4 linked regions of the Lonchura striata genome follow. The protein of the gene in region 4 purifies or fractionates together with the protein of the main gene of each other region. This does not show direct contact. Links are inferred from orthologs where the notes say so. Each region holds a gene or a part of one and is shown on either strand. Other genes may lie near its edges. The genes, in order: DNAJB6, TCP11L2, HAX1 and tubulin alpha-1A chain.

Region 1 (6,949 bases), on a different chromosome or scaffold from region 4:
ACTTTCAAAAGCATTCTCTTAGCTCAGCTTTTTGCACACAAAGAGGAGTCCAGATAAACTTGCAGCCTCTAGATTACCTAAGACACACACACTACAGATGAAAACTGAGGTTGTGCTCAGCAGGAAAACACTGGAGAATGCAAGAGAAATTGGGTTATTTTGTGCTTTTAATGCTTCTACTGAAAGTTTTAAACTCTAGGTGTATTGCACATATTTCAAGTCTAATTGTTTCTGATAAACTATCAGGAAAAAGTTAATGCTTACATTTAATTAAGTGGCACTTTCCAGAATTACTTTGCCAGCAGTACTATAATTAGATGATATGAGAACAGTCTTTGATACATATGCTCATATTCTTTGTTAACACCAAAAATAGAATCTGTAAATCTGTAAATAGAAGAACGGGATGCATTACACAGCAGGGCAGAGCAGCAGGCTGGGAAGGCTACAGCCATTACCACCTCAGGAGGATTAACATTAATGTCTCTCTAATGCAGCATTTTTAAACATTTCTTGTGTTCTGATGGGCTTTATATAATTGACCTCCATAAATCATGAAAGATGGTTTAAAAAAAGCATCTGGGAACCCTGTGAATTGCCAATACCTCCTGGAACACTGCCACGTGATTTCCATCATTAGGTTATAGCTGCCAGTTAGGGCTGAATTCATCTCACTTAACTTCAGGCATCTGTGAGGTGGCATTTAGGGAGAAAAGGCAGCCCTGGGACAGAGCTCTGGTGGGTGGTTCCTTTCCTAAAACACATCTCCAAAGAGGGTGGAAGGAACTGAGCCCTGGATGTGTCCTCTCCTCCCCTCTCTTCACAGTCAATGGCCTTGAACTGGATGTTCGAGACAGCTGAATTTGGGTGAGATGACAAAACCTTTCTCTCATGTTCCCAGAGGAGAGTTGAAAATTCTTAAACAATTAAGATTCTTTGATAGCAGCTTTACTCTGACTCAATGACTTGGCACTTGGATATCAGCCTGGATCTCTGATACCAGCTTTAACAGACCCACAGACCCTCTTTTGTTATTGGAATGTTGATGCTCTGCCAGCAACTCCAGGCTTCTGCTGCAAGCAGCAAGCCATAAAAACACAGGACACTTTGACTTCATACTTTTGAAAATACCTTTGAAGGTGTTCTGAATCAAAAAGCTTTTCAGTTTTATTAGTCCTATACATAGAGCTAATTAAAAATGTTAATGAGCCAGTTATGCAATCCTTTTGGATTTCAATAAAACATTCAGTACTCTCTCTCCCAGGATCCTTGTGGACAAAATGTCCAGCACACAGCTGGATAAACACATCATGGGATGGGCGAGCGTTTGGCTCACGGGTCAGCACCAAGGGTTGCAGTGGATGGGGTGACAGCAGGCTGGTGTCCTGTCCCCACTGGGGTTCCACAGGGCCCAGCCTCAGCCCTGCGCTCCTCAACATCCTCATCAATGACTCGGATGGGATACTAACTAAGTTTGCCAAGGACACTAAACTGGGAGGAGTTGCTGACTCCCTTGAGGGAAGGGAGGCCCTGCAGAGACCCAGACAAATCAGAGGGCTGGGCAATCACCAACCATTTGAAGTTCAACCAGGGCAATCCTGGATGTGTGTGCTTCGGTATCCCCTGCAGTACCTCTTCTGGTGGGCTTTGCCACATGCTATTTTAATTGAAATCACCTGCCTTTCCCTGTAACAGAGAACAGAAAATTAAATATTGTGTGCCAATTTGAGCAAATGTTTAAAAAGTAAATAATTCTTGTTATTGTTCAGGAGATAATCTGAGCTATCAATGACCATAAGTTAAAAAAAAAGAGATCCCCTAATAAATTATATTTGTAATTGGTGGCTCTGTAAACTGCCTCTTCAGAGAAGTATTGGGAAATGTCTTCTTATCTTTTTCAAAGACAAGCATAAACCAATTAAATTTTTTTTATTTAAAAAATAATTATTTTGTTTTCATCTATAACTTTGTTAGGAAACATTTATTAACATTCTCAGTGTTTTGCTGTAGAAAATGCTAAACTACGCTGCCCTCAGCTATGAGCAGGCAATTTACCTTCTCATACCTTCCTTTCTCCAAATGCAAAATTGGTCTCTAAGCTTTCCCAAATGTTATTCCTGTATCTGAAGGATGCTAAAGCAGGGCTATGCTGTTTAGAGTCAGAACAGTGTTAGAAAATCGCTGGGCAGATTAATGTAATGATAACAAATTGTGTTAAAGAAGCCATGGTCCTGGTTGCATTGATGCAGGCAGTGTTTTGATTCCAACCCTCTAGTTCCATATGGAATCATGCTTCTTTGCCATGTTCTGCTTGCTTGGCTAAACAGAAAGTTTTATGGTTGGCATCCATCATATTTAACTGTAAATATAAAATCTGCTCTTATTAAAGCAAAGAGACTTCCTCGTGTGACTTTTGTCTTGTTTACTACAGCTCAGGTTTTAGTACTCTTCACTTTTTTTCTCCCCTGTAATTGGTAATGAAAGGCTGGAGAAAAACCATTATTTCAAGAACAAGAAATGTTTAAAGGATTAAATCAAAATTTTGTATGGTCTCCTCCCTCACCTCACAATACTGACCTGCCTTTGCATTTGCCAGGCTGTGAATCCTCTGAGGTCTGAACTTGGCCCATTAGGAAGAGCCAGTCTAACCCACTAATCCTTTGGGTGTTTTCTTTCCCAGTGGACCAACAACTTGGACTTCACAGCTACTTGCTGATGAGAAACTAATAATGGAGTGAGGTGTCTCTCTGCTCTAATTTTGAAGAATTGTTTCCACGACCACAACATAGCATCAACAATCAACAGTATTTCTTTTGAAGCTTGCATTTCCCCAAAGCACCAAGCCTGTACTTAGGGTTGTCCTACTACTTGTCCTGCTGATTTGTTTTAGGTTTTCCTCTTCCTTATTGCAAGCTGGCTTTTGTCTTTTTGAACTGACCCCACTCCCACACAAACACTTCCTAAATAATGCGTAGCCTTTTCATTGAATTTATTTTGGAAGCATACATTTTAGGCGTGGAAACTCTCTAACTTCATTTTGGTGAGCTATAAATTAATGCCTCCACTTTTTAAATTAGGGGCAAGAAATATAATTTTACAGCAATTTAAAGCATGGATAAAATCTATATTTTAGAATTAAAATAGTAACTTTGTTGCTTTATACTTTGCTCTCAACCATGGCACTCAGAAAACCACATACTTGAATATAACACAAAGGATGCTCCAATATATTCAGCCAGTGCAGGGCGCTACATGCATGGAGAGGAATCTGACCTCAAAGGAATTGTGTGCCAGAGTTACAATTTTTGAGACTCCAACTTTAAACACACAAAGGGGAAAAATTTTTGGTATCTCACCTTGAGCACCCAAACTCACCTATTCAAAGAATGTTTGTTAAAATTGTTGTTTTTTCACCTTTTCCTACAGCACCACACCCAGGCATCACTTTTTGCAATTCCCTCACAGAATCCCAGCAGGGGTCAGGCTGGAAGGGTGATCCCAGAGCCCGTGGCACAGGATTGTGTTTAGATGGCTCTGGAATACCCAGTGTGGGAGACTCCACAGCTCCTCTGGGCAGCCTGTTCCAGTGCACGGTCACTGCACACTAAAGAAGTTCTCCCTCACGTTCAGGTGGAAATTCCGTGCCTCAGTTTCTGCCCATTGCCTCATCTCCTCTTGCTGGAGCAGAGCCTTGTCCATGCTCTTGCCACCCCCAGTTTTTGAGAGTACAGACACAAAAGTGGAAGAATTTTTGCCATCTCACTTCTCAGCTATTCAAAGAAGGTTTCTTAACCTTTTTCTTTTTCTTTTTTGCCTGTTTTGCTGCACACCCGGCCCTCAGAAGCCCCGCCCCGGCGCCGCGGGCCGCCGGCAGGGGGCGCTCTCCGCTCGCACGGGAGCCCGGCGGGGCCGTTCCAGAAACTTCCGGAAGCGGCGGGGCGGAAGCGGCGGCGCGCGCTGGCGGCACTTCCTGTTTGCGGCCGCTGCCGTTGGTGCCGGCGGGAGCGGCGGGCGGGGAGCGGCGGCCGCGCTGCGGAGCCACCGGCGGGTGAGCGCGGGGACCTCGGCCCGGGGCTGCCCGGCCGCGGCCGTGCGGCGGGCGGAGGGCGGCGGGGAGCGGCCGCTTGGCCGGGCCGCGGTGCCGGGCAGCGGCGTGCCTGGTAGCGGGGCCTGCTGGCGGCGGTGGAGCGGCCGCGGGTGCCGCGGCGGCTCTGCTCGGCCTTGGCGGGGCTCGGGGGTCGCTGGGAGCTCGGGGAGGCAGCGGCTGGCCAGGGCTGCCCCCGGCGGGACAAACCCCGGGACGTTCGGTGCCAGCCCGCTCTGCCGCAAGGCAGAAAAAAAATTCCGGATTCCCATTCCTTGCTCACAGGGGTGTCAACTCCCAGGGGATGAGGGCGAGCCTCGTTTCGTTAAACACACCTTGTCCTTAAAGCGCTTTTTGTCGCAGGGTGCTGCCTGGGCGGCTTGCGAGCGTTGTGGCCTCCTTTTTTCTGCCAGTCCCTGAAAGGAGATGGCGATGAGCTGCGGGCCGTGCCTGCAGACAGAGAGAGGATCAGTGGAAATGGCCTTAAGATGAGACGGCGTGATTCAGATTAGATAGTGTAAAAAATAGTTCACATTTAGGGTGGCCAGCCATTGGAATAGGTTGCCTAGGGTGGTGGTGGAGTCGGCAGCTTTGGAAGTGTTCGGGAGCGGCTGGATGTGGCGCGGGGCGGGTTTGTGGTTAAGGGACGCAGTGGCGGTGTTGGGGGGTGTTTGCCCTGGGTGATCTCAGAGGCGGTGTTGGGGATGTTTGCCCTGGGTGATCTCGGTGGCGGTGTTGGGGGGTGTTTGCCCTGGATAATCTCAGAGGCGGTGTTGGGGGGTGTTTGCCCTGGATAATCTCAGTGGCGGTGTTGGGGGGTCTTTGCCCTGGGTGATCTCGGTGGCGGTGTTGGGGGGTGTTTGCCCTGGGTGATCTCAGTGGCGGTGTTGGGGGTGTTTGCCCTGGGTGATCTCAGTGGCGGTGTTGGGGGTGTTTGCCCTGGATAATCTCAGTGGCGGTGTTGGGGGTGTTTGCCCTGGGTGATCTCAGAGGCGGTGTTGGGGGGTGTTTGCCCTGGGTGATCTCGGTGGCGGTGTTGGGGGGTGTTTGCCCTGGGTGATCTCGGTGGCGGTGTTGGGGGTGTTTGCCCTGGGTGATCTCAGAGGCGTTTTCCACCCCTGGTGACCGTACGCCAAACGAGCTGTGATTCTCCCCCGATGGAAGCAGTTCGGTTTCGTTGCTCAGTGTTGATTACTCGGGGTGCCGGCAGGAGGGAGGTTTGTTGTGGGTGAGGTCGGCAGAGGTCGGGTGTTTTGAGCTCGCTGTTGCCAGGTTCCGAGCCGAGGTGAAAACTGATACTGCCAGGTAAGGAACACTGTTTGTCGTCAGTATTTGTTGCACTTCAGAGGGGACAGCAGGCTGGGTTTACCACTCGCGTTCCTGTTTGCACCAACGCTTTGTGTTGTGTTGCTGTCTGAGCTCTCCTTGGCTGCTGAAAACGTGCTGCGACCATGCTAACAAAGGTGTTAGAAATAATTCACAATACTGAACAAATCTGTTCTAAATTGTGGTAATAATAAACTACTTATTTAGGCACGGTAGCATGAAATCTGCGTTTACTATGTGCAAATAGTTAGACTTGTGTCATTGCATAGTCAGTGATCAAACCCAAGAGTTTTTAGAGTATAAAGTGTCAAAAAGTGATAAGAACAAGGTGCTGACATAAGGGACCACTGGGATGAAGCAAGGCTCTGCCTCTCTGGTCTTGCAGCAGAGGTTGCAGTCACTGCTGTCTGCTGACCTTAATTTTTGTTTACTCTTTGGAGATCCTTGTACTCCAGTTAGGGATTTTATGTTCAGCTGGTGATCAAGAGCCTAATAGTGAAAATACCATTTAGTTTGATGGATTATGTTGTCAAAGAAGATTTGTTTGGACCAATGAATAAGTGTATTTACAGATCTTGTCTGCGTGATTACTTTTTTTATTGCAAACAACCAGAATTTTAACTATTGCACAACACTAGTCTAACTTTGTGTACTCCCCTTGGCTCCTGTGCTGACTTCTCAGTGGAGAATAAGAGTGTTGAAAATAGAAGTTAAATTAGTGTTAAATTTTCTTAAATAATCTCTATTAGAGTAGAAATTTAAATTGCTGCTTTTATTGGCAGCACTGTTTAGACTACAATGCTACTAATAATGTAAACTAAATCTGTAAAGTGCAGAGTTCCCCTTGTTCTCCATCAGGCTTGTCTTTTTAGTACTTGTGCTTTCAAACTACAGCAGATTCTTATCCAGGCAGCTTCTCTCTCTGGTTATTTTCTCTGTCCTTCCCAGATCGATGCAGATTGCTAATTTATCTTGGCAGAGCTTGGGAAGAAGGCATGCAGGGCTTTACTTTTGTGTAACACTGAAGTTTTAGTTAGAGGCTAACGTGTTTTGGTACTGACTTTTTAAAAATAGATGAATAGATTTCTTTGCGAACTCTATTCTTTCTTTTATCCATTAGAAGTTTTGGAATGTATGCGAGGAGAGGGAATAATTTACGTTAAATCATCATCATCATTTTATGTAGGATATAGGCGTTCCTAACAGCGCACGAGAAACGACCACCAGGTTTTTGGTCTGTTGTGCGTCTGTGCCTCAACGCGCTCGTTGGCGCAGCGAGGTCTGCGAGCGGGGGCGGCGGGTGCGCTCTGCCCGCTCCGGAGCCCGGCACGGGCGGAAATGTCCGCGCCCCTGCGAGCCCGGGAGGGCACGGCCCGGCCCCTGCGAGCCCGGGAGGGCACGGCCCGGCCCCTGCGAGCCCGGGAGGGCACGGCCCGGCCCCTGCGAGCCCGGGAGGGCACAGCCCACCCTGCACAGCCCTGCGAGCCCGGGAGGGCACGGCCCGCCCTGCACTGCACAGCCCGCACTGCACTCAGACTT
Region 2 (7,466 bases), on a different chromosome or scaffold from region 4:
CCCAAATACGCTCACATATTTCCACATCATCATTTCACGAACTTCCTCTTACCTCTAGGTATGACAATGTTAATAAATATTCAGCTTTGAAAGGTTCTTCTGAGAGAAGCACTAAAAGCAGCCATGAAGGCAAGTCAGCACTGCCATTTTCCACCCCATCTTGATTTCCAAGAAGATCAAGTGGTTAAGGTAGAATTAGAAGTCTGTACAAATTAAGTCCTTAAGCACTAATCCCAGCAAACGATCAGTGCAAATAATCAGCTGCATTTCAAAGATGCACATGGCATTTTGATGTATCAAGACCATACCTGCTCCCACAATATATGCACACATACAGACAGCAGAGATGTCAGTAGAGTGCTTCAGAAGGCTTAAGTAAGTATTTAAACACTGCAACAGGAGGTGACACGCAAAAAACCACTGCAATCTTTTACCACAATAAATACATTTCCTAGTAGAATGCTTCAAGCACAATGGGAAGTAAGAATGGGTGTACTCTGAAGATTCAGAACATTATTGCTAAATTCTAAGTTTAAAAGATAAATACATCAAAATAAATGTACATGAATATACAAGCAGAACCTGCAGGGGCCACCTAAGACGCTTAAGCAAAAATAAGTCATTGAGCATATGAAAGGTAAGCACAAACCAAAAATGACATTTCTAATTAGTTACAATAGACAACTGAGTCACTTAGTCTTTGCTTTATAGCATACACTGGAAGAACTGATTTTCCTTACATTTTTGTAGATAGCACAGAAGTTCTCATTAATAACAAATGACCAAGTTAATTTAGAACTTTAAGTTTAAATTAGTATAATGGCCACAGAAAAATATTTTAAAAAGCTCTTCAGCCTTGCAAGATCTCTTTGTAACTCGCCATCTTGGATAAAGAATACCATCTTGTTTATTTTTTTTTAATGCTTATTAATTATTACATATTAGGCTGTTATTTTAATACATATATTAATATCCCAACTGTTCTATTAAAGAGTAAGCCTGAGGTTACAACCTGATTTACTCAGTTGCATTAAAGACCACTCACATTTACATTTATATTAGGTTGGACACCATCACAGTGGGCTTCATCACACTATTTGCTTTCTTTCAATCAGTACCATACTGTAGGGATTTTTAAGGATAAACTCTTTGGAAGACCAAGCTAAAAGTATCTTCTACGTGTACCAACCCAAAGATTCTAGCTAATGTAACAATGAAGAAATAAATTCGCACATTTCTGCTATTTAGACAGGTGAGGATTATTCTTTTTTAGTAAAAAGAAAATTAAAACATAACTGTAGATGCTTAAAGACATCTTGTCCTTAACTGGTTACTGCATTACCCAACTCGATTCTTCATTTAAAACTTATCAAGACTGCAAATCAGGTTAGTTTTAGAAGGCACAAACACACTTTTTATTTCTGTCGGTTCGCTTTGGAAATAATTTTACAAAGCATCTCGGGGGAGGAGGGAGGAAGAGTTTCACAGTTTGCTGGGTATTTTCTTCAGATACCATCTTCAAACACAGGTTTTCCACAGCCCTGCTTTGTTCAAAGGAAGTGTGCATGGACACAGAGACTTATGAGTGCTCTGTCCAGTTTTGCCACTATGAAGGTCTTAACTTTATTTATTCTGCTGGGTTCACATTCTTACTATCTTCAAGCTGGCACCGACTGAATCTCATTTGGTCTCGAGTTTCCCTTTCACTGACTCCACCTCTGTCAGCACTCACGACACGAGAACAGAAAAGAGCCTTTGTTAGGAGTTACTCGCATTTCCACCCGCTTCATTTTTCACAGCTTACAGCCGACATTTCTCCCCTTTAGCTTTCCAGTTCCACAACTCTCGGAACAGACACTTCTTTTCGTGAAGGCTTAAAAAAACTGTTTCGGCGAGAGTGAGATGCGGCCGAGGGGCCCGAGCGCTGCCCGGACAGGTCGGTGATGCACGGGGAGCCCGGGCCGGTCCTGCCCGCTGCCCTCCCCGCGGGGACAGCGACACCGAGGGGAGCCGGCGGCTCCTCCTCTTCCTCCATCTGTTTCGCTGCCTGTCTCCTCCCCCGGCCCCATGTTTTTAACACTTAGCAAAGGCAGGAGTTTGGCACCCGCCGACCAAAACAAACAGCGTTTCCAAGGAGGGGCCCGGGGGGAGGGAGTCCGGGGGAGAAGCAAGGAGGGAACACTCCGTGTCAGCCCCCGAGAAGGCGAGCCCGGGCACCCACGGCCCGGGGAGGGCTCGGGGTGCCCCAGCCCTGCCGGCCGGGGCTGCACGGGGGGACCCTGCGGCTGCGCCCGTCGGGGCGGGTCGTCCCGGCGGACACCAAGGGATGGGAAAGCCCAGGAAACGCGGGGCAAGGGGAGAACTACGGGCCCAGCGCAGGGACTGCGAAACCCACCTGCTGCAGCGGGTGCCCCACCGGGGCAGCAGGGCGACGGGCCAGTCCACCACCTCCCTGCCACCCACACCGCACAGGAGGGTGGCAGCCCCCGAGCCAGCGCTGTCCCGGACTCACCCCGCGACTCATCGCCCAGCGTGTCCGGACACCCCGCCGCGTGTCAGCTCCGCCGGCCGGCCGGAGCAGCCCTGCCCCGCTGTCCCCCGCCGGTCACTCACCGCTGCCCCTCGCCGTCCTGCCCCGCCGTCCCCCGCCGGTCACTCACCGCTGCCCCTCGCCGTCCTGCCCCGCCGTCCCCCGCCGGTCACTCACCGCTGCCGCTCGCCGGGGCCGCACGGGACCCCCCCTCCGATTTAAAGACCCAGCCCGGACTATTTAGTGTCTTCCTCGGGCACGTCCATCTCTGACGGCGGAAGGGGGGAGGCGCGTCATCTTTTCCTGCCTGCCATCGGCGAGTTATCCGAGGCGCTTGGGCCAGCCTCCACTTATGCCAGTAGAATCTGCCCGCATCTCCTCATTCTGCCTGCGACCGACACTAAGCGTGGAGAAATATGCGGCGACACGGCCAGATGCTCGGGCGGACTCCCCCGTGCTGGCAATGGGCTGTGCTGGCGCACGGGGGTAGGCCGGGGGCGGGCCGGGTGCTGTTTACGGAAGGGCCCCGTCCACCCGGGCCGGCTCCGCCCCCGGGCCGGCTCGGGGACGGGCACACCGACCCCGCACAGCCCGGCCTTGGGGGAAAGGGGCTGTGCCCCCCAGGGGATAGGGCAGCGCCTCAGGCTGTGCGTGCACGCCTTTAACAATGTTCTTGCCCTGGTTTCCTTACCCTATCGATGTGGGATAGCCAGGCGCCCCTCCACGCGCCATCTTGGCTCCCCAGTGCCCCCCGCCGCCGCAGCTTCAGGGGAGCCACTGGGCGCCGTGCTGAGGTTAGTCACCCGGCTCGCTGCGGTGTCCGGACGCCTGCTGAGCCCCCACTGAGGAACGCAGCTCGGGGCAGTGCAGCACTGTCATTAGAAATGCTTTGCTTATTGCTGTATTGACCTCACGCACTGGCAGCTTCACGCACCCACCGGGCCAGCAGTACCTGTCAGGGTCATCACCTCTTCCTGTCACAGGAGCTACGTGCCACCACTGCCTCACCCAGCAGGAAGCACGGAGGGCAAAACACCGGCAGTCACCTCTGAGGCAAGAGCTCACTAACGCCAGCCTTGCCCATCACGAAGACAGAGCTCCCCTTCCTGCAGATAACCTTTAGCAAACGTGGTGAACTACACAGAACGGATGTTGTATTCGGGTAGACCAAAGCCCACTGTAGGTCCCATTAACCTCTGCTATAAAATCAAGGGCTCCAAGCAGGGAACAGAGTTTGGCTACGCAAGTGCCAAGTGCCCAGCTGGAGAGGGAGCGCTTGCTCGCAGCGATGCAGAGCACCTGTCAGCCTGGCCTTCAGAGACATTAAATGGGATTAAGTCCAACAGCCTAATCCGGCAGCTTCTATAAAGAAGACAATGTTTTAAGTAACTGTATTTGCACTACTTTGCCCCACTTTGTGCATGTCACATGGCAATGACAGTCTGAAAGAGGCTCAAAAGGGCTTTGGAGAAGACTGTGGTGGTATAAAGATGGGCTGCTTTGTACAGACCTGTTACGACTTCCAAGGACATAATTTGTTATTATTTTATATGTCAATTTTTTCTTAGACACCATCTGAAATATGGGGAAAACATGAGTTTTTGCTGTGATGGCTACTGACATCTTTTATCAATTAACCAGCTAAAACTGCATAAAGAGTACTTGCAAAAACATCAGGGCCAGTGACTCAGGGTCCATTTTGTGTCTCTGTGGACTGGCACTCGTGGAAACCTGTGCTGCTCAGTGGCCTGGTTTCTAGCTTGCACAGAGAGGGAAAGGGATCAGCCTCACCAAGTGAGGTAGCTTCTAAATACTGATATAAAAGATAACTTCAGGGGGGAAAGCATTTCAGCCTAAAAGTATCTCCACCTAAATCATGGAGTGAGAGATAGGATTCCAGAGAGGGATGGCTTTAAAACAATTTTTTTTTCAGCTATAGTAGTATTCTTCTCTCACAAGCCCACCAGCCGTTTTGGAGCCCATTCTTAAGTGCATAGCTTGCTCTATCATCTATCTATCTATCTATCTATCTATCTATCTATCTATCTATCTACCAACCATATCAGAGATGTACATCTGTCATATATAACTGGGGCATCAAGGACATGCTTTGAGATTCTGGTCCAAAAGCCAAGAATAAGTTAGACACTGCAGTACTCAGCACTTCCCCTTCTTTTTGGTTTCAATTCTTTCCTGATCCAGAGGCACTGAAGCTATAGGCCACTATATGGATTTTGAAGTAGATTACCCATTGGAGAGATTTTCTCCACAGAGAAATTACACTCTTTTCTCACTTTCTGGTGTCCCCAATGTCAGCCAGAAAAATAATTGTACAGCCTTTAAATTTGTTCTACTCAATTAACAAGATCAATGTCCTTGTGTCTTATATAGCACATGCATGTATGTCCTGGATTTGGCTGGGATAGAGTCAATTTTCTTCCTCATAATTGGCAAGGGGCTGTGTTTTGGATGCTTTAGTTACTAGTAACCAGTGCTTACACTGAGTCAAAGCCTTTTCTTCCTCTCACCCCACCTCAGCAGCCAGGAGGAAGGTGCACAAGAAGTTGGGAGAGGACACAGCCAGGACAGCTGACCCCACTGACCCAGGGGATATTCCATACCATAAGGCATTATGGTCAGCAATAAAACTGTGGGAATGTTGGTGCAGGAGCACAGCTGGGGGACTGGCTGGCCATCAACCACTTGCTGGTGAGAAATTGTTTTAATTTGCTTCACTTGTCTTTCTTGTATTTTATTTACCCCTTTGTTATTTTCATTTTTATTACAATTTAATTTTTTTAAATTATTAAACTTATTTTATCTCAACTCGCAAGTTTTCTCACTTTTACCCTTCTGATTCTCTCCCTCATCCCACTGGGGACATGTGGGGTGAGAGAGAGAAACTGTGGTGCTTATTTCCTGGGTGAGTTAAACCACACAGAGGTACATATTTGGAATTTTGACTAATGTCTCAAGTTAACTTTAACTCTTAGCCTTTCACTACAGAAACACTGTTAATTGAAATTAAGGACTAGTTTGTGCTCACTGTTTGCAGCAAGTTGGCTCATAACCTTCCTTACTGCTACCAGTAAAACTGGCAAAGATAGTAAAGCCTATAATTAATGCTCTGCTTTATCCAGCAAACAGCAAGGCAGCTACTGAGTGGATAAGATGTCAGAAATGTCCCAATATGTGGCTAACTCAATGGTTAGCGTGGGAGGAGAGGGAAAGGGCAAGGCATTCTATGGTTTATGCCAGGGCCCATGACAACTAAGTTGAGAACATAATTTAAAGTCACAAGACATTTTTCCCTAATCCTAATAACTGAGCCAGGCAGATTGGCTTTAGTGCTAACAGATGGATGTTAAGACTCTGGGTTGACTGAGATCATCAGGCCCAGATTTGATAATAGGCTCAACGTCAAGACAGAAAGACTACAAGGCAGGTGTAAGGATTCTTTCTTGGCTTGTTCTTCTGTGGAGTTTCCTGTATTCCAAAGATAAATAAGTCTTGTGAGAGGCAAACAGGGTTGCTACTTCTCCCCACTGAACTATTTGTTTTCAAGTTCAAAGGCAAAGCAGAATATTGACACTTCTGAGAGAAAATGGTACATCAGTAACTTCCCCAACCACACCAGTCTTCAGTGTCTACCAACTTTACCAACTCAGCAAATTCTTAATGCATACTCCCCTCATCACAGCAATTGGTCTTTCTGTACAAAGGAAATAAGAGTTTGACCCACAGTGTCAAATACAACAAAAAGCTATTTGTAGAATAGTACTCTTGGTCAAAAATAGCTTGAATTGGTTCTATGGTGAGAAAAATCTTTAGATAGTACATTGCTAACATTTTCCTTGTCAGTACCAAGTGAGAAAAGGAGAAATAGTGAGCTACCTATACTACCTTGCTCCCTGAAACAGATTTACATCCCTTGATACTTAGCATTGATGATCCTCGTGATTATTCTCTCTGGTGAAGTCCATATGGCTCAGTTCTTATAGTAAACTCTGAAATAAATGGCTTCAGAGCTAAAATCCTGGGTCTTAGGGTACTGCTAAAAATCCTAGCCTTTCTAGGCCCTTCCTAAATAGAAATCTGATATCCCCTTCTCATAAAGTGTGAGACAACTAAGGCTGTGGCTAGATGTTCATGGTGAAAACTGCTGTTGTAACTTTCCTAGGGTGCTTTGTTTGCTGCTGAAGATTTTTACTGTCATTGTATTGAGGAAGACAGACTATTCTGAGGGTCCCTCACTGCTTTAGTGCATGCCTCCTCATGCCAGCTTCAGCCACCTCTAGGAAATATTTAAGACAATCTCCTTACCCTATGCAAGCTCTCTGTTACTTGTTAGAGTCAGGGCAGTAACTTCTGTTGTGCTCATAACCTGCAGTCACACCAAGATCCTTTCAGATTTGTGCATTTAACAGAATTGTGCTAACAAAATGCCTGAGACAATTCAGTATAAATTCTCCTCTTACCACCCATTCTAGTAGTTACTAGAACATCATGTATAGACTAAACAGTTCAGTTCATCCTAAGCCTTGGCAGAGGTGGAACTGTATTTGACAGGCTGACATCAGGGGCTGTGATCAAGCTGACTTTATGAGTAACTGTTTCTACATAATACTCAACATAATTTTTAAAAACCTGTGTATATATATATATATATACAGATGTAAAGGAAGAATATACGGTAATCAAAGACCAAGAAAAGAAAACATTTTCCAAGACAAAATCCGATTTAATTTCTTGCTGTAATCAAATAGAGAAATAGATACATTCAGAGCCTCGAGCTCCAGCTGGAGCCCGTGGCACAGGGGAAGGCCTGCTCAGCCTTTCCTTTCCTTTCCTGTCCTGCGCCGGGACTCGCTCCGCGGGGAAGATGAAGGCAGCAGGCTCGAGTCGGCGTGGGGAAGCAAAGAAGCGTGGCCGGAGC
Region 3 (6,392 bases), on a different chromosome or scaffold from region 4:
CCTGCCCTTCAGCTGGTTTCTGGAGGAATTTTGAAACAGTGTGTCCAGCGCCAAATAACTTTTATTGGGTGCTTTGCATGTGATCATGCCTTGGCCTGGCTGCCCAGGCCAGTCTGTCTGTAGATCTTTTCTGACTGCTGGAGCTCTCCACCAGGTACTGCTGGTGTTAGCAGCAGGCAGCTCCTGCTGACCCACTGGCTGCTGCCTAACACCCACCTCTCCCTTCTCCCCAGGAGTATCCGTGACATCCAGTAATACAGGCGTGCCAGACATCTCGGGCTCTGTCTACTCCAAAACTCAGGTTAGTGTCTCTGTGCTTCCTGCATCGCTGGGGAGGAGAAGCCAAGCTCTGAGACAGCCTCTCTGGGCAATGAGGTCTCTTCCACTTGGATCAGCCAGCCAGGGAGAAGGGAAATGCTTGACCTTTCCCAGCTTACAGCAAATCCAAGCCCAGAAAGAGCCATAGGAAGATACTCTCTATCCGTTCTCTGTACTGCCGGCTGACTCTGGGCTTGTGATGGGTAGAGATGGGGAGGAGCACGGTGCCAGCCTGACTCCCCGCCCTTATTCTGCCGTTGGCATCTCCTTCTTAGCAATCCTTCGAGAAGCAGGGATTTCACACTGGAACCCCAGCAGCCTCCTTCAACCTGCCTTCGGCGCTGGGCAGCGGCGGCCCCATCAACCCTGCGACAGCAGCGGCATACCCCCCCACCCCCTTCATGCACATCCTGACCCCGCATCAGCAGCCTCACTCGCAGATCCTCCACCACCACCTGCAGCAGGATGGGCAGGTAAGCAATACCCCTGGCACCTCAGCCCCTTGCTGGGCTATCTCCTAGGGCTCTTGCTCCCCCTTTACATCCCTGGTCCCTCTCTCCCTCCCTGCCTCCCTCTCTCATGCTCTGCAGCGGACACATGCAGTGACAGGCACATGCTCAGACCTGCACATACACACAGGGCTGTAAGAGGATGAGGTGAGAAGGAAGGCCTGGGGTGTGCTCTGCCAGGGTGGGTACTCAGCACAACCCCCTGGCTACCAGCCTGCACCAGATAGGGCCAGGTAGTGCCCCCTCATGCAGACACATCTGGGGCACCCCACCCCCCCCATCCTCAGAGGGGCAGCTCCGCAGACCAGCACCAAAGGGGTTCCTCGCCATAGCCATGACCCTGCAGGAGCTTTCAGGTCTAACCGTGGATTTCTATTGTCATAGTTTGTCCCTTTATTTTACATATCCTGGTACTGCAACAGCTTCCATATTTGCAGATGATACTGTGCTGCCAACGCCAGCAGGAGGATCAGGTAATGAACTCTCTGAAAATGCATTTGCCGTGGGCTCTGCCCCTGCCCCTAAGGCTCCCCAGGATCACGTAGCCCCTTCCTTCTCCCCCATGGCCCTGCGAGGTGAGGAGAGGCCCTCAGTCAGTAGATGCACACACATACATTTGCGCGCAGACACAACCCACACCGACCCTTCCCTGTCTCCTCTCTCCCTGCTGCCCACAGCCCTGTGTGCTGCTGGCCTGGAGCAAGGTGTGGAGCCGAGGGCGGGTGCTGGGGTACGGCAGGTGCAGCTGCAAGGTGTGCTGGAGGCTGCCCCAGCGCCAGGGAGCCGAGTTGGGCTGAGATGGATCGGCGGCTGCTGAGGAGCCGTAGCCCAGAGCACCTGGCCAGGGCCGTCTCTGGGGCCCAGGCATGGCAGTGTGACCCCGCAGAGTAGGCCAGGGGTGCTTCCCCTGCACTCACCACCTGCTTCTCCTTCTGCCCTTTCCCGCAGAGCGGCTCCGGGCAGCGCAGCCAAGGCAGCTCCATCCCCCAGAAATCCCAGGCCAACAAGTCCGCCTACAACAGCTACAGCTGGGGCGCCAACTGAGGCCGGGCCCCTCGCCACCACTTGCTTCCGGAAGAGAATCCCAGTGCCCCTGATGATGAGGAAGGATCCCAGGGAGGAGAGAGCCCTGCAGCGGGGAGCGCCCGGGCCCCCAGCCCCAGCAGGGCCCCGCAGGGCAGGCCGCAGGCACCTCTGCGTTGTCTGTCTTCAGCCACTTTCCTGTTGTATGTAATATAGAATTTGTATTTTTTTCTTTTTTTTTTTCCTTTTTTTTTTTTTTTCTCTCTCTCCTCATTCAGATATGAACCGTTTGCCGTAGGGGCCTTTTTTGGTTTTTACTCCTTTCTATCCCCTCTCCCATCCAGCTGCCCCAGAATCTCTCAGATCCAAAGGAGTGGAAGCTGCGAGTCGCCTACAGCAAACCCCCTTATTATTAGGATTAAGACCAGTAATTGATATGAGCAGCATTGTAAGATTAATTAGTTGAAGTGTTTTTTTTGTACCGTGTTCTAAATTTAATGGATAAATGTGTCTTGTATATAAAAACAAAAACCCCATGCTGTCCTCTAGTTCTCTCATTTCTCCCCCACCCCGTCGAGGGGTCCCCCCTGGTATTTTATGTTCTCCATCTGCGTCCCTCCATCCTCATGGGCCCAGAGTGCAGGTCCTGCCCTGCTTGCACGCTGTAAGTATCTTCTGCTTTTGGGTTGGGGATTTTTTCTTTTTTTTTTCCTTTTTTTTTTCTGTTTTGTGGGGTTTGGTTTGGTTTTTTGGGTTTTTTTTTTTTTTTGTTTTTTTTTTTGGTTGGTTGGTTTTTTTCTATGCAGTCCAGATCTTGTATTTTTCAGTTCTACCTGATCCCTTCAGCTGCAGCCCCAAGCGGGGATTTACTGAAGAGAATAAAGATCACAAAGTGATGTGTGTATTTTTTCCACCTTCTCAGCCTCGTTCCCTATTTTTGGTGCAGGGGGTGGGTGGCCCTGGGCGGTGGGGGCAGTGCTTCCCCCACCCCTCCCCAGCTTCTTGCTGGTGTTTTTGTCCCCTCATTTTGTGGGTTTTTCCTTTTCCCAGCTGCAGCACTGGGCAGACCCTCACCCTCTGACCACACTGCTTCCTGCTGAGCTCTGCCTGCTGTCCCCACTGCTCTGGTGCTGCTGCTGCTCCCTTTGGGGGTTGGGGGGTGCTCTCCCTAGCCCCTCCTCCCCACAGTCATGGGGCAGCCTGGGACGGTGGGCACATGACGGAATCTGTGGTATTTAAATTAGTCCGATTGTAGAAAGCCTCTGTCTTTCAGCCCCGCTGCCAAAGAAGAAGTGGTAATTTGTGCTGGTTTTCAAGGTTGTTTATTCTTGCTTATCTGTAACGTGTTCTGCTGCCCTGCCGCAGCTCTGTCCTGCAGGGCAGCATGTGGGGCTCTGCCCTCAGTGGGATGTGACAAACATTAAATACCAGAAACTCCCTGGGCTGGATTTACAATAACGTGCCAATATCTGTCACCTATGTTGGACAGTGTGTCCCCAGCCTAAACCAAATGAAAAATGCCAATACCAGAGTAAAACATGAAAGACATGAAGAAGAAGACAAGGCATACCAAATTTCCTCTATCTTGTCCCCTTTGAACCCCTTATATAGAATCCTAAAATTCTACTTTGGCACCTATGCCACACTAATTATTGCTTATATCAAACACTCAGAGCTTGTAACTCATCCTGTAAGATTGAAAACTTTTCCATGGCCAGAGATCACAGCCAGTGTCTCTGGGGGCTCTGTCCAGGGGGTTCCTGACCCCTGCCAGGGTCCCAGGGCAGCCAGAAGGACGCCCTGGACTCCCACAGGCACCGGGGAGGGCAGCGGGACCGCTGGGAGCCGTGCCCGAGCTCCAGGTAAGGGGCTGGGGGCGCCGCCGGGGCCCTCGGGCCCTGCGCGGGCCGGGCTGGGCCCGTGGGGCTCGCTGGGCGCGGAGAACGGCGGCGGGAGCACACGGGCCTGCAGCCCGCACCCGCCCCCGGTGCCCCGGGACACTCCCCGGTAGCTCGTGCCAACGGGGCTGGGCAGCCCTCACTCCCCGGTAGCTCGTGCGAACGGGCCCGGGGCCGCTCCAGGCCTCGGGGCCCTCACTCCCGGTAGCTCGTGCGAACCGGCCCGGGCCGCGGGGCACCGGGCGCGCTCCGGGCTCCGGTCCCCGTCACAGCACGGCCGCGCTGCCGCAGCGCCGCGCGACACCCGGCGGCGCTTTACGGCCGCAGCGCTTGGCGGCAGCGCGACCCGGGCGCGGCGGCGGGACGGGGGAGCGGGGCCCGGAGGGGCCCGCAGGGACCCAGAGCGGGATGAGCTTCTACGACGTCTTTCGCGGCTTCTTCGGGTTTCCGGGACCGTGCAGGTGACCGGGACTCCGCCCGTCCCCTGGGTGCCCCCGGCCTCGCCCACACAGACCCTGTCCGTCTCTCAACCGCCACTTGCCCCACCGGCCCCGGGCCTGCCCCGCTGGCTCCGGGCTCTCCGGTGTCTCACTGCCGCGGTCCCGCAGACCCCGGGACCCGCTGTTCGGCGGCGCGGCGTGGGACGAGGAGGAGGAGGAGGACGATGGCGGCCCGTCCATGTCGCAGCCCCCCCAGGACTTCGGCTTCGGATTCAGCCCTGGCTCCTCCCGCGGCGCCTTCGAGGAGCTGTTCCGGGACATGGGCGAGCTCCTGGGCGTCTTTGGGGGCTTCTGGGCCGAGCCCCAGCAGCCTTTCGGTGGGTACGGGAAGGGCTGAGCGAGCTTCTTGGGGCCGCTCGGAGCCCCTCGGCCTGACCGACGCCCCTGTGCTGCCCAGAGCCCGCCCTGCCTGGCCCCGCTGAAGGCAGCGCAAGGCGACCGCTGCGGGACTCGATGCTGAAGCACCCGGAGAGTCCCCCCGCCGGCGCGGCCCCGGGGAGTCCCCGGCCATGGAGACCCTTCTTAGGGGTGGGTGAGGGCTCTGGGTTCTGCCTCCCGCAGGCTCTGCAGCGGTAGCCAGCTCTGTGCTGCTGTAGTGCTGCCTTAGTGTCGTGCTTGGCCTCAGTGCTCCGTGGCTTTGTCTTGCAGCTGGAAGATGCTCACCGGGCTCCTCCTGGCCTCAAGGAAGACCAAGGTGGGTGCTGGCAGCAGGGGCTGAGGGCTCTGCCCTCCCTGCTCCACCCACCTGTGCTGCCACAGCCCCGGGGGCATGTCCCCATGCTGCGGCCCCCATCTTGCATCTTCCCCCAGACCTGGACTCCCAGATCTCCTCCGCTGGGCTGGGGACCATCCTGAGACCCAGCGAACCCAAGTCCCACTCTTATTTCCAGAGCGTCTCTGTCACCACAGTGACTCTCCCTGATGGGGTGAGTGTCCCTGCAGGCGCAGCAGGGCTGTGGGGGACCTGGGGACACCGTCCCCGTGGCTGGGGAGTCTCTCAGGGCTCGGTGCTCTGCACAGGGGGTGGAGGAGCGCCGTACCGTGCAGGACAGCCAGGGCCGCCGGGAGACAACGGTGACGCGCCGGAGGGGGGACCAGGCCTTCATCACCACCACCAAGGAGGATGGGCAGCAGAAGGACTACCGGGAGGAGGTGGTCAACATGGATGACCGTGAGTGGGGGTCTGGGGAGGATGCAAAGAGTGGACAGGGGCCCCGCTGAGGGAGCTCTCCCTGCCCTCGCAGGGGAGCTGGCACAGTTCGCTGGCACATGGCCGCAGCAAGAAGAGCTTCGTGCTGCCAACCCGAGCGACCCCTCATCTGTGCTGGGCAGATTCTTCCGACGCTGGTTCTCGAGCTGGTAGCTGTGCCCAGGCCTGATTGAGCAGCCCCTGTGTGTGACAGGTGCGGGCTGGGGGGACCCTGGGCTTGCCAGGTCTGTCAGAGCAGGCAGTGGGCAGCAGCCTTTTCTCACCACCGATTTTTGTTGTAGATGGGTCAGATCTTGCTGGAAAGTGGTGCCTGGGCTGGAGGCTGTCCACCTTCTGCAGTGCTGCAGAGCCACAGGGAGCCCTGTGGGGGGTTAAGTGTATGTGTGTACAGAGCAATAAAGTCTATTTATGCTAAACGGTGACTTTCCTGCTCCTTCAGACTGGCATCTCATGCGTTTGGAGGCAGATTCCCCCTGTCCACCAGGATGAGTGGGGGGGTGCCTCAGGTGTGCAGGTGATTGCTGGGTTCCTGTGCCTGCACTGCTCCCTTCTTACCTCCCTCTCCCATTTCCCTGCCTGATGCTGTGCTAATGTCTCCCCTGGGCCACTTTTGAGGGCCTGGCCCAGCCTGGAGGCCTTTCCAGGACTTCTTTATTAGTGTTGACTGCAGCTGTGGCTCAGGCAGGGATGTGGCAGGAATAAAGGGGGCTCCTGGCCATGAAATACCTGTGCCTGCTCACCTGAGTGAGGTCTTGGCTCCCCACAGCCACTTGGGGATCAGGGTGTTCCTACCCGGCCTTGCCCTTCTGGGGTGCAGCACTGTCACAAGGTGTCCCCGGCCACACACAGGACTCTGGTCCCTGCCAGGCGGCTCCCGTGGTGCAGCCATGATTGGTTTAAAGTCTGCACATAATCACCCACCTGGCTGTGGGGC
Region 4 (7,913 bases):
GAAGCAGGCGTTGGTGATCTCGGCCACCGAGAGCTGCTCGTGATAAGCCTTCTCAGCAGAGATGACCGGGGCGTAGGTGGCCAGAGGAAAGTGGATGCGGGGGTAGGGCACCAGGTTGGTCTGGAATTCCGTCAGGTCGACATTCAGGGCTCCATCAAAGCGCAGTGAGGCCGTGATGGAGGACACGATCTGGCCTATCAACCTGTTGAGGTTGGTGTAGGTGGGACGCTCGATGTCCAGGTTGCGGCGGCAGATGTCGTAGATGGCCTCGTTGTCCACCATGAAGGCGCAGTCGGAGTGCTCCAGGGTGGTGTGGGTGGTGAGGATGGAGTTGTAGGGCTCCACCACAGCCGTGGACACCTGTGGGGCCGGGTAGATGGAGAACTCCAGCTTGGACTTCTTGCCGTAGTCGACAGAGAGCCGCTCCATCAGCAGGGAGGTGAAGCCAGAGCCGGTGCCACCGCCAAAGCTGTGGAACACCAGGAAGCCCTGCAGCCCTGTGCACTGGTCAGCCTGCAAGGAGACACGAGGTGGGGAGGCATGTTTACTCCAGGCAGCAGAAGTTACTCCTTCCTCTTGATGGCCTCACAAGGATATTTGGGGGCTTTCCAGCAGCAGAGCCAGAGTCAGCAGGATGGGGACGGGGTGGCACCAACTCCATCTGTTACCCACTGACTCACGGTGTATCACCCAGGGAAGCTGCTTGGCCTTTGGGGTGAGACAGTGCTCAGGGGCACCTCAAAGTGCAGAATTGCCACCAGCTCAGCAGCAGAGTGGAGACAATTTTGACCATAAACTGTCACAGCCACATGACTCTGGAATGGACCGGCTTGGGGCTGCCCATCCCCAGCACACGCAGCTGGACTCGGCCACGTCAGGAGCCAAGTGGGAACAAAGAGGGAATTGCCGAGCTCAGCACCGGCAGCGCCCGGGGGCTGCGGCGCTGTGGAGCCGCTCCAGCTGCGCCGCGTCCCGCTGCCGGCCAATGGCAGCCACTGCACAACAGGATTAACATTAATTAATAAATTAAATCTAAACCCAACCCAGCGAGTCTGGAAGGGAGAGCGAGACAGAATGGGGGCTTTGTCCTCGCCTGCCACCTGCACCCCCAGTGCCCCTACCAGCTTGCGGATGCGGTCCAGGACCAGGTCGATGATCTCCTTCCCGATGGTGTAGTGCCCGCGGGCGTAGTTGTTGGCCGCATCCTCCTTGCCCGTGATCAGCTGCTCGGGGTGGAAGAGCTGCCGGTACGTCCCGGTGCGCACCTCGTCTGCGGGGACAGCCCCGGGCCCCGTTAGCGCCCGGCGCCCGCCGCCAGCGCCCGCCCCGCCGGCCGCCCCCCGCGCCCTCACCGATCACCGTGGGCTCCAGGTCCACGAACACGGCCCGGGGCACGTGCTTGCCGGCGCCCGTCTCGCTGAAGAAGGTGTTGAAGGAGTCGTCCCCCCCGCCGATGGTCTTGTCGCTGGGCATCTGCCCGTCGGGCTGGATGCCGTGCTCCAGGCAGTACAGCTCCCAGCAGGCATTGCCGATCTGCACGCCCGCTTGGCCCACGTGGATGGAGATGCACTCGCGCTGCGGGGGCACGCGGCACCGGGTCACCCCTTTTGTCCCCTCTGTCCCACCCCAGCACCCACCGGGCTGGCACCCAGCTGGGAAGGGTCCCTGCCCGAGCCTGGCTGGGGCCAGATCCTGCCCGGGCGCACCCATTGTTCAGGGTCTGGAGGTGCACCCAGTGCAGAGGGTCCCATCCTGTCATGTGCCCATCACTGCTGGCACCCTGCCTGTGGGGGATGGGGAGCTCAGGACGTGTGGCTCATCCTGCCCTGAGGGACTGGGACTGTGCCCAAGGTGAGACAGGGAGCCCCGGGGTTCCCATCCTGCCCCACCCTGCCCTGATGAGACCCAGCAAAGCCCCATCGTGGCTCAGCACCGTGGGCTCCTCCTGCCCACTCGAGCCCCAGTGGAAGCACGGCCACGCCCAGTGCGGGACTGGCGTGGGGTGGTGGGGTGGGGTCTCATCCTGCCGTGCCTCGACCTCTGGTGCGGGATGGGGTGCTCAGCACTGGGGTGCTCATTCCGCCCTGCCCACCCCGCACCGGGGACACTTTCTCCCGTATTATACCGGGGCCACGCCCTGCACAGGCTGAGGGCTCAGCACCGGGACGGGGGGAAAAGAGGGTCTCTCCTGCCTGGTTTAACGGGAGCCACGCCCCGGGACGGACGGTGGCTCGGTACTGAATTACGGGAGTCCGATTCTGCCCCTTTCAACCGGTGCCACGCCCTGTACGGGTTTAGCTCCGGGGACCCATCCTGGCCGGTTTAACGGGAGCCACGCCCTATGGTAGCTCAGTGCTGAGTCCCGGGGGTCTCATCCTGCCTGGTTTAACGGGAGCCACGCCCTATGGAAGCTTTGTGCTAAGTCCTGGAGGTCCCATCTTGCCCGGTTTAACGGGAGCCACGCCCGCTGTGGGCTCGGGGGTCGGTCCCGGGGGAGACAGAAAGACCCTTGCAGGCCCATTTAACCGGGCGTACACTCGGGGCTGGGTCCCGGGCGACACATTTTACTCGGTGTAACGGGAGCCACGCCCGGTGCGGGAGGAGTCCCGCGCCGAGGGCTCATCCCGGGAGGGGTGGACGAGAAGCCCTTGGGAATGGCGATCGGGAGGGGTTGGGGACCGGAGACACGCCGAGACGGGAGCCGGGGTTGGGGGGGGGATGAAAATCGGAGACTACGATGGGAGGGTGGGGATTGGGACCGGGGAAAACCACAGGTCCGGGGGCGGGAGGGATGGGGCCGGCGGGAATGCGGGATAAAGAGACCAAGGGAACAGGGACTGTGGGAATAGAGACGCGCCCCCGACCCCCCCGCACCCCCTCACCATGGCGGCGGTCGGTCCGGGGCGGTCTCACAGCCCGACGCTGAGGCGGTCGATGTAAGAGGCGCGGCGGAGCGCGGGGCTCGGTGCGGGGCTTTATAGCGGCGGCGGGGCGGAGCGAAGCGGGGCGGGCGGCGGGGCCGGGGGGGCGGCGGGGCCGGCGGCGGTGGCGGCCATTGGCGGCCCGGGATGAGGTAATGCCCCCCCGCAGCCGCAGACAAAGGCCGGGCGGTGCGGGAGGGGGGCCCGGGGGCTGCGGCGGCCACGGCCCGGCCCCGCCGCCGGAGGGGCCCCGGCTGTGTCCTTGGCACCGTCCCTGCCACGCCCCGGTCCCCGGTCTTGGCTGAGCCAGCGGTCACGCTCAGGTCTCCATCCCACGGTCCCCATCCCCCCACGGCCCCTTCCCCCCATGTCCCGCCGTTCTTCTCGTTCCCGTTCTCCTTCCTACTGCCCGTTATGGGTCTCTTGGTCCCGGGGCTGCCGGTACACGGGGTAGGACCAGGCCCTGGTCCCCATCCATGATGCAGCCTTCCCCCTTGTCTGGCCACTGCCCGTGCTCCCGGTTATCCCCGGCCACACCCTGGTCTCTGTCCGCAGCCATCCCGTTGTTCCCATCCCTTGTCACACTCTGGCCCCCATTTCCAGCCAGCCACGCCCTGGTCCCCGTCCCCAGGGGCATTGTTCTCATCCCTGTTCCCATCCCCAGGGACACTGTCCCCCTCCCTGGCCGTGCCACGGTGCCCTGGTTCTCAGCCACGTCCCTGCCATGGCTCCGCGCCTGTCCCGGCCCTTTCCCTGCCGTGCCCAGCCCTTCCAGCGCCTCTTTGTCTGCTCGGGCAGTGGGAACCAGCGCTGCGGGGCCCAGCCGAGGGACAAAGACTCATCCCCCCGGGCAGCTGGGGACGAGCAGGGAGCAGGGCCAGGGGGTGAGCAACAGCGGGAGGACACAGGGGACAAAAGCCCCCAGGGCAGTTTTGGGCAGGAGGCTCGGACAGCAGCAGCTGCTGGGCGGCAGCTGGTGGTTGGGACACAGCTGGGACAGTGGGACACGCGTCCCCTGGCCACCCCTCCATCTGCTGCAGCCCCTGCACAGCCCCCCCGAGCCACCAGCCCCACAACCCTGGGGTTTCATACTCCTGGGGGGGGGTTCCCCCTCCTGTTTGTTCTTGCAAAGCCCACAGAGGCTGGGGGTTGTCTCCCCAAGCCAGGAGTGCTGGGGGGCTCGGGCCCTGCAGAGTGACCCCACAACACATGCATGGCCCCAGCTGCTGCAGGTGGAGCTGCCAGGATGCCCCCCCTGCTGAGAAATCAGCTTTTTTCCCTGCTGTTTCCCACATTATGCAGATTTCTGGGCAGATTCAAGGTTCCCATGTCCCTGCTGCCAAACCAATGTCCCCAGCACCATCCCCATGTCCCCGCTGCCAGCCCCATGTCCCCGCTGCCAGCCCCATGCCCCTGCTGGTGCCCTGTTTCTGGGGCGCTGCTGGGGCTGCAAAGCTGCAGACAAAGAGGGGATGGGATTTGGGCATCGCCCACCAGAACAAAGGACCAGGTGGCCCTGGCTTTGCTGAGTAGAGAAAAACCAGGAGATTTGGCTCCCACCAGGCTGGTCCCGATGGCAGATAGCAGATAGACCCCAAAGCAGCTCAGCCCCTAGCCCTGACCCCACTGTAGGTCCATCCCTACATGGGAAATGCCTCCTGCCTTTGTTCTCCTGCCGTCCCAAGTGATCAGCACCAGCATGGAGCCTCTCAGGGTGTCCCCATTGTGTCCCCAAAGACAGAGATTTTGGGGGCTCACAGCAGCCCCCTGCCTCGGAGACCACTCTCCAAGCTAAGGAGGGACCCCCCCTCCCACCCTATTGCCCTGAGGGAGGTGCCCCATAGGGCAGGGGGCGGCCCAGCCCCGGTGGGTGATGTGGGGTGTAGGGTGAGGGGCACCGAGTGCCACAGCCCCACTGGTGCCCCCCCAGCCCCCTCCCATCTCCTTGGGTATGGACGACCACAAGTCCTGCACCGACTGCTGCCAGGCAACTGGTGGGGTTGCTAGGAGACCGGTTGCTAGGAGACAGGCTGGGGACCCCCCCCTCCCCCACATCCCCCTCCCCAACATCCATCCTGGGGCCTGGTGGGTGGGGGGGGTGCAGGCAGACAAGGCTGGGTTCTCACCACTGCCTCGTCTTATTGTCACAGTGGGGACACCATCCCCGGGACCCCCACTGCCTCACCCTGCTGGGCTGTGGGTGAGGCACCACCCTCGGGACCCCCGGTGCCTGACCCCGAGGGTGGGGCACCATCCTTGGGACCCCCAGTGCCTTACCCTGAGGGTGGGACACCACCCTCGGGACCCCCACTGCCTCACCCTGAGGGTGGGGTACCATCCTCGGGACCCCCAGTGCCTCACCCTGAGGGTGGGGTACCATCCTCGGGACCCCCAGTGCCTCACCCTGAGGGTGGGGTACCATCCTCGGGACCCCCAGTGCCTCACCCTGAGGGTGGGGTACCATCCTCGGGACCCCCAGTGCCTCACCCTGAGGGTGGGGTACCATCCTCGGGACCCCCAGTGCCTCACCCTGAGGGTGGGGTACCATCCTCGGGACCCCCAGTGCCTCACCCTGAGGGTGGGGTACCATCCTCGGGACCCCCACTGCCTCACCCTGAGGGTGGGGCACAGGACCCCCAGCGCCTGCTCACTCTGCTATGCCAAGTGGGGGGTACACAGGCCCTGGGGTCCCCCAGTGCCCACCCTACTGCACCCTGCCGTGGAGGTCAGCAGCCCTGTGGCCCCCCAGGATCCAGCCCTGCTGAGTGCCAGCGCGGGGTGGCTGGCACAGCTCCCAGCCTCCCCAGCTCCTGCACTCCCACTCGCCTGTGCTCTGTTGACTGTTGGTAGCAACGTGGTGGCTCCTGGTGACGGTTGCTGTCCTCCCCCCACCCTGTCCACCACCCCGGTGCCACTGGGTGCGACCGACCCTGCACCCTCCCGGGGTCCCTCCTGGCTGCACAGAGTCCCCATGGCTGTCCCCAGCCGGGCTGGGTGACTCGGGGGCTCCCAGAGCTGGCATCTCCTCCTGTGTGGGCTGATTTCCTGGCTGCTGGACTCGTGCCCGTGGCACAGCCGAGATTCCCAGCCTCCCCCAGTTTGGGCCCTTCCTGGGGATGACAAATTGGTGACCTCGAACCCCACGGCCGGGACATGCCATCCCCAGGGATCGAGGGGTCTCAGCCTCATCAGGGGCTGTGCTAGCTCGGGGCTGACAACCCAGACTCAGGCTGCTGCTATTTTTAGCCTGTTTTCCCGCAGAACCCAGCTCTGTCTGTCTGTCTGTCCATCCGCTGCCACCATCGATGTGACAGGTTCATTCAGATGGAGAGACAGGGCAGCTCGGGGGGCGGGGGGAGCCGCTCCTTTCCGGGGTGCCGGATGAGGCCGGGGTGTGGTGGAGGGTCCCCGCCGCCCCCCGGCTGGCCGAAGGTGGCCCTTAGGGGGTGGACCCGCGGAGGGGTGGCACCCACCCCTGACCGCGCCCCTGCCCCACCCGAAGGGCAGAGGGAAAACTCCTCCAACCCCAGTGTTTGAGGCAGCGGGTGGCCGCATTCCCCGTGGGAAGAGGCAGGGAGGTGTCACCGGTGTTCCCGCAGCCTCGGTGTCCCGGTGCCCCCTCCCGCCACCCCGCAACCCTTCCCGCCCCCTCCCGGAGCTACGACAAAAGGGAGACTGAGCCCCGGGATGGGGGGGGAGCACTGCGGGAGCAGGGGAGGGCGCGGGGGAGCAGCCGTGGGGTGCGGGGGGCTGCGGGCGCGCTGCCCGTGGGGAGGGGGCTGCGGCACCGCCTGCGTGCGGGGCGGTTCCGCAATGCGGCAAAGCCGGGAATAAAGGAGCGGGGCGGCGGAGGGGTGGGGGTGAGGTGGGAGAGACCCTGCTGTCGGAGGGGTCCGCCCTCGGCCCGGCCCCCCTAAAGCATCCCCTGGCCCCCAGCAGGGCCCCGGAACCAGCGGGGTGGTGTCTCGGGGGGCTCCGGTGGTATCGGGGGCTCAGGGGTGGGTGCTGCTGGGACAACGGGCACCCCGGCCCCGGGCGTGTGCCAGCACCGAGAATGTGCCCGGGGAGTGCGGGGACAGCGGGGGCTCAGGGAGGGGAGGGACACTGAGGTGCCCAGGCTGGGAAGGGTGCCCAGGGATTGACACCGGGGAGCGTGGGGTCTGTAATTCTGTCCCCATGCTGTCCCAAACCCCTCTCTGGCTTTTGGAACGTGACTCCTACCTTCAAACCAACCCAGAGCTGGGGAGGCAGGGTGGGACGGGGCACTGCACCCCGGGGGTGGGCGTGAGATGCTCCCCCGGCCCCGTCCGTCCTGCCCCACAGGACCTGCCCCGCGTGGGTTCTCCCGGGGAGCAGCCCCGGGGCTGGCAGGGAGCAGGGCGGCGGCGGTCACAGGAGCCGGCGCGACGGGAGCCCGCGGGGCTTCCCACGGGAACGGAACCGGGATGGGTACGGGGGTGCGGAGAGGGATTACTGGACCCCCGAGGCCTCCAACCCACGCGGGGCCGGGGCGCTCCCTGGGCAGATGCAACACCTAAGGATGGGGACAGGGGCTTCAGGGACACATCCAGCCGCCGACTGAGCCCACCGCCTCAATACCGCAAAGCCCCCCGCCTCTAAAGCCTCTCGTAGAGCCCCCTAAAGCCCCCCCACACCAGTGTTCCCCCGACCCTCTGCCCCTAATGCCTTCCGACCCTTCTGACCCCGCCAATGGCGCCTTGTCTGCCCGCCCAACACCCCCAACCCTCGGGACCCCCCAGCCCTCGGGACCCCCCAACCCTCGAGGTCCCCAACCCTCGGGACCCCCAACCTTCGGGGCCCCCAGCCCTTGGGACCCCAGCCCTCGGGACCCCCAGCCCTCGGGGCCCCCAACCCTCGGGACCCCAAACCCTCGGGAGCCCCAACCCTCGGGACCCCCAACCTTCGGGGCCCCCAACCCTCCGCCCCTCTTTCCCCGCCCATGGTCACGCCCATCTCCCACGAGAACCCGCC

What was found.
Region 1: the proteins of tubulin alpha-1A chain (region 4) and DNAJB6 purify together in Homo sapiens (pull-down; 3 studies listed by BioGRID and IntAct, with this or other methods). This does not show direct contact. The link is inferred for Lonchura striata from reciprocal best matches to the Homo sapiens genes TUBA1A and DNAJB6.
Region 2: the proteins of tubulin alpha-1A chain (region 4) and TCP11L2 purify together in Homo sapiens (affinity purification with mass spectrometry; 3 studies listed by BioGRID and IntAct, counting the BioPlex papers as one, with this or other methods). This does not show direct contact. The link is inferred for Lonchura striata from reciprocal best matches to the Homo sapiens genes TUBA1A and TCP11L2.
Region 3: the proteins of tubulin alpha-1A chain (region 4) and HAX1 purify together in Homo sapiens (affinity purification with mass spectrometry; 3 studies listed by BioGRID and IntAct, with this or other methods). This does not show direct contact. The link is inferred for Lonchura striata from reciprocal best matches to the Homo sapiens genes TUBA1A and HAX1.

The regions. Positions count from the first base shown.
Region 1 is NC_134603.1:148,335,704-148,342,652, reverse strand, and holds the start of DNAJB6 (dnaJ homolog subfamily B member 6), read left to right. Parts: upstream 1-3,936; 5' UTR 3,937-4,048; intron 4,049-5,141; exon of another isoform or gene 5,142-5,389; intron 5,390-6,949. UniProt on the Homo sapiens protein: Has a stimulatory effect on the ATPase activity of HSP70 in a dose-dependent and time-dependent manner and hence acts as a co-chaperone of HSP70. Plays an indispensable role in the organization of KRT8/KRT18 filaments.
Region 2 is NC_134607.1:20,691,780-20,699,245, reverse strand, and holds the start of TCP11L2 (T-complex protein 11-like protein 2), read right to left. Parts: upstream 3,011-7,466; 5' UTR 2,708-3,010; exon of another isoform or gene 2,614-2,707; intron 2,593-2,613; exon of another isoform or gene 2,513-2,592; intron 1-2,512. UniProt on the Homo sapiens protein: Promotes the migration of muscle-derived satellite cells (MDSCs) during differentiation throught interaction with FMNL2 and therefore may participate in microfilament assembly.
Region 3 is NC_134635.1:1,009,151-1,015,542, reverse strand, and holds HAX1 (HCLS1-associated protein X-1), read left to right. Parts: upstream 1-4,066; 5' UTR 4,067-4,156; coding exon 4,157-4,209; intron 4,210-4,356; coding exon 4,357-4,565; intron 4,566-4,645; coding exon 4,646-4,776; intron 4,777-4,896; coding exon 4,897-4,942; intron 4,943-5,058; coding exon 5,059-5,174; intron 5,175-5,268; coding exon 5,269-5,419; intron 5,420-5,492; coding exon 5,493-5,611; 3' UTR 5,612-5,651; intron 5,652-5,739; 3' UTR 5,740-5,874; downstream 5,875-6,392. Other genes in the region: UBAP2L (ubiquitin-associated protein 2-like), read left to right, coding at 234-301, 594-791, 1,250-1,300, 1,776-1,871. UniProt on the Homo sapiens protein: Recruits the Arp2/3 complex to the cell cortex and regulates reorganization of the cortical actin cytoskeleton via its interaction with KCNC3 and the Arp2/3 complex. Slows down the rate of inactivation of KCNC3 channels. Promotes GNA13-mediated cell migration.
Region 4 is NC_134629.1:5,996,868-6,004,780, reverse strand, and holds the start of tubulin alpha-1A chain, read right to left. Parts: upstream 3,005-7,913; 5' UTR 2,886-3,004; coding exon 2,883-2,885; intron 1,576-2,882; coding exon 1,353-1,575; intron 1,271-1,352; coding exon 1,122-1,270; intron 514-1,121; coding exon 1-513. UniProt on the Homo sapiens protein: Tubulin is the major constituent of microtubules, a cylinder consisting of laterally associated linear protofilaments composed of alpha- and beta-tubulin heterodimers.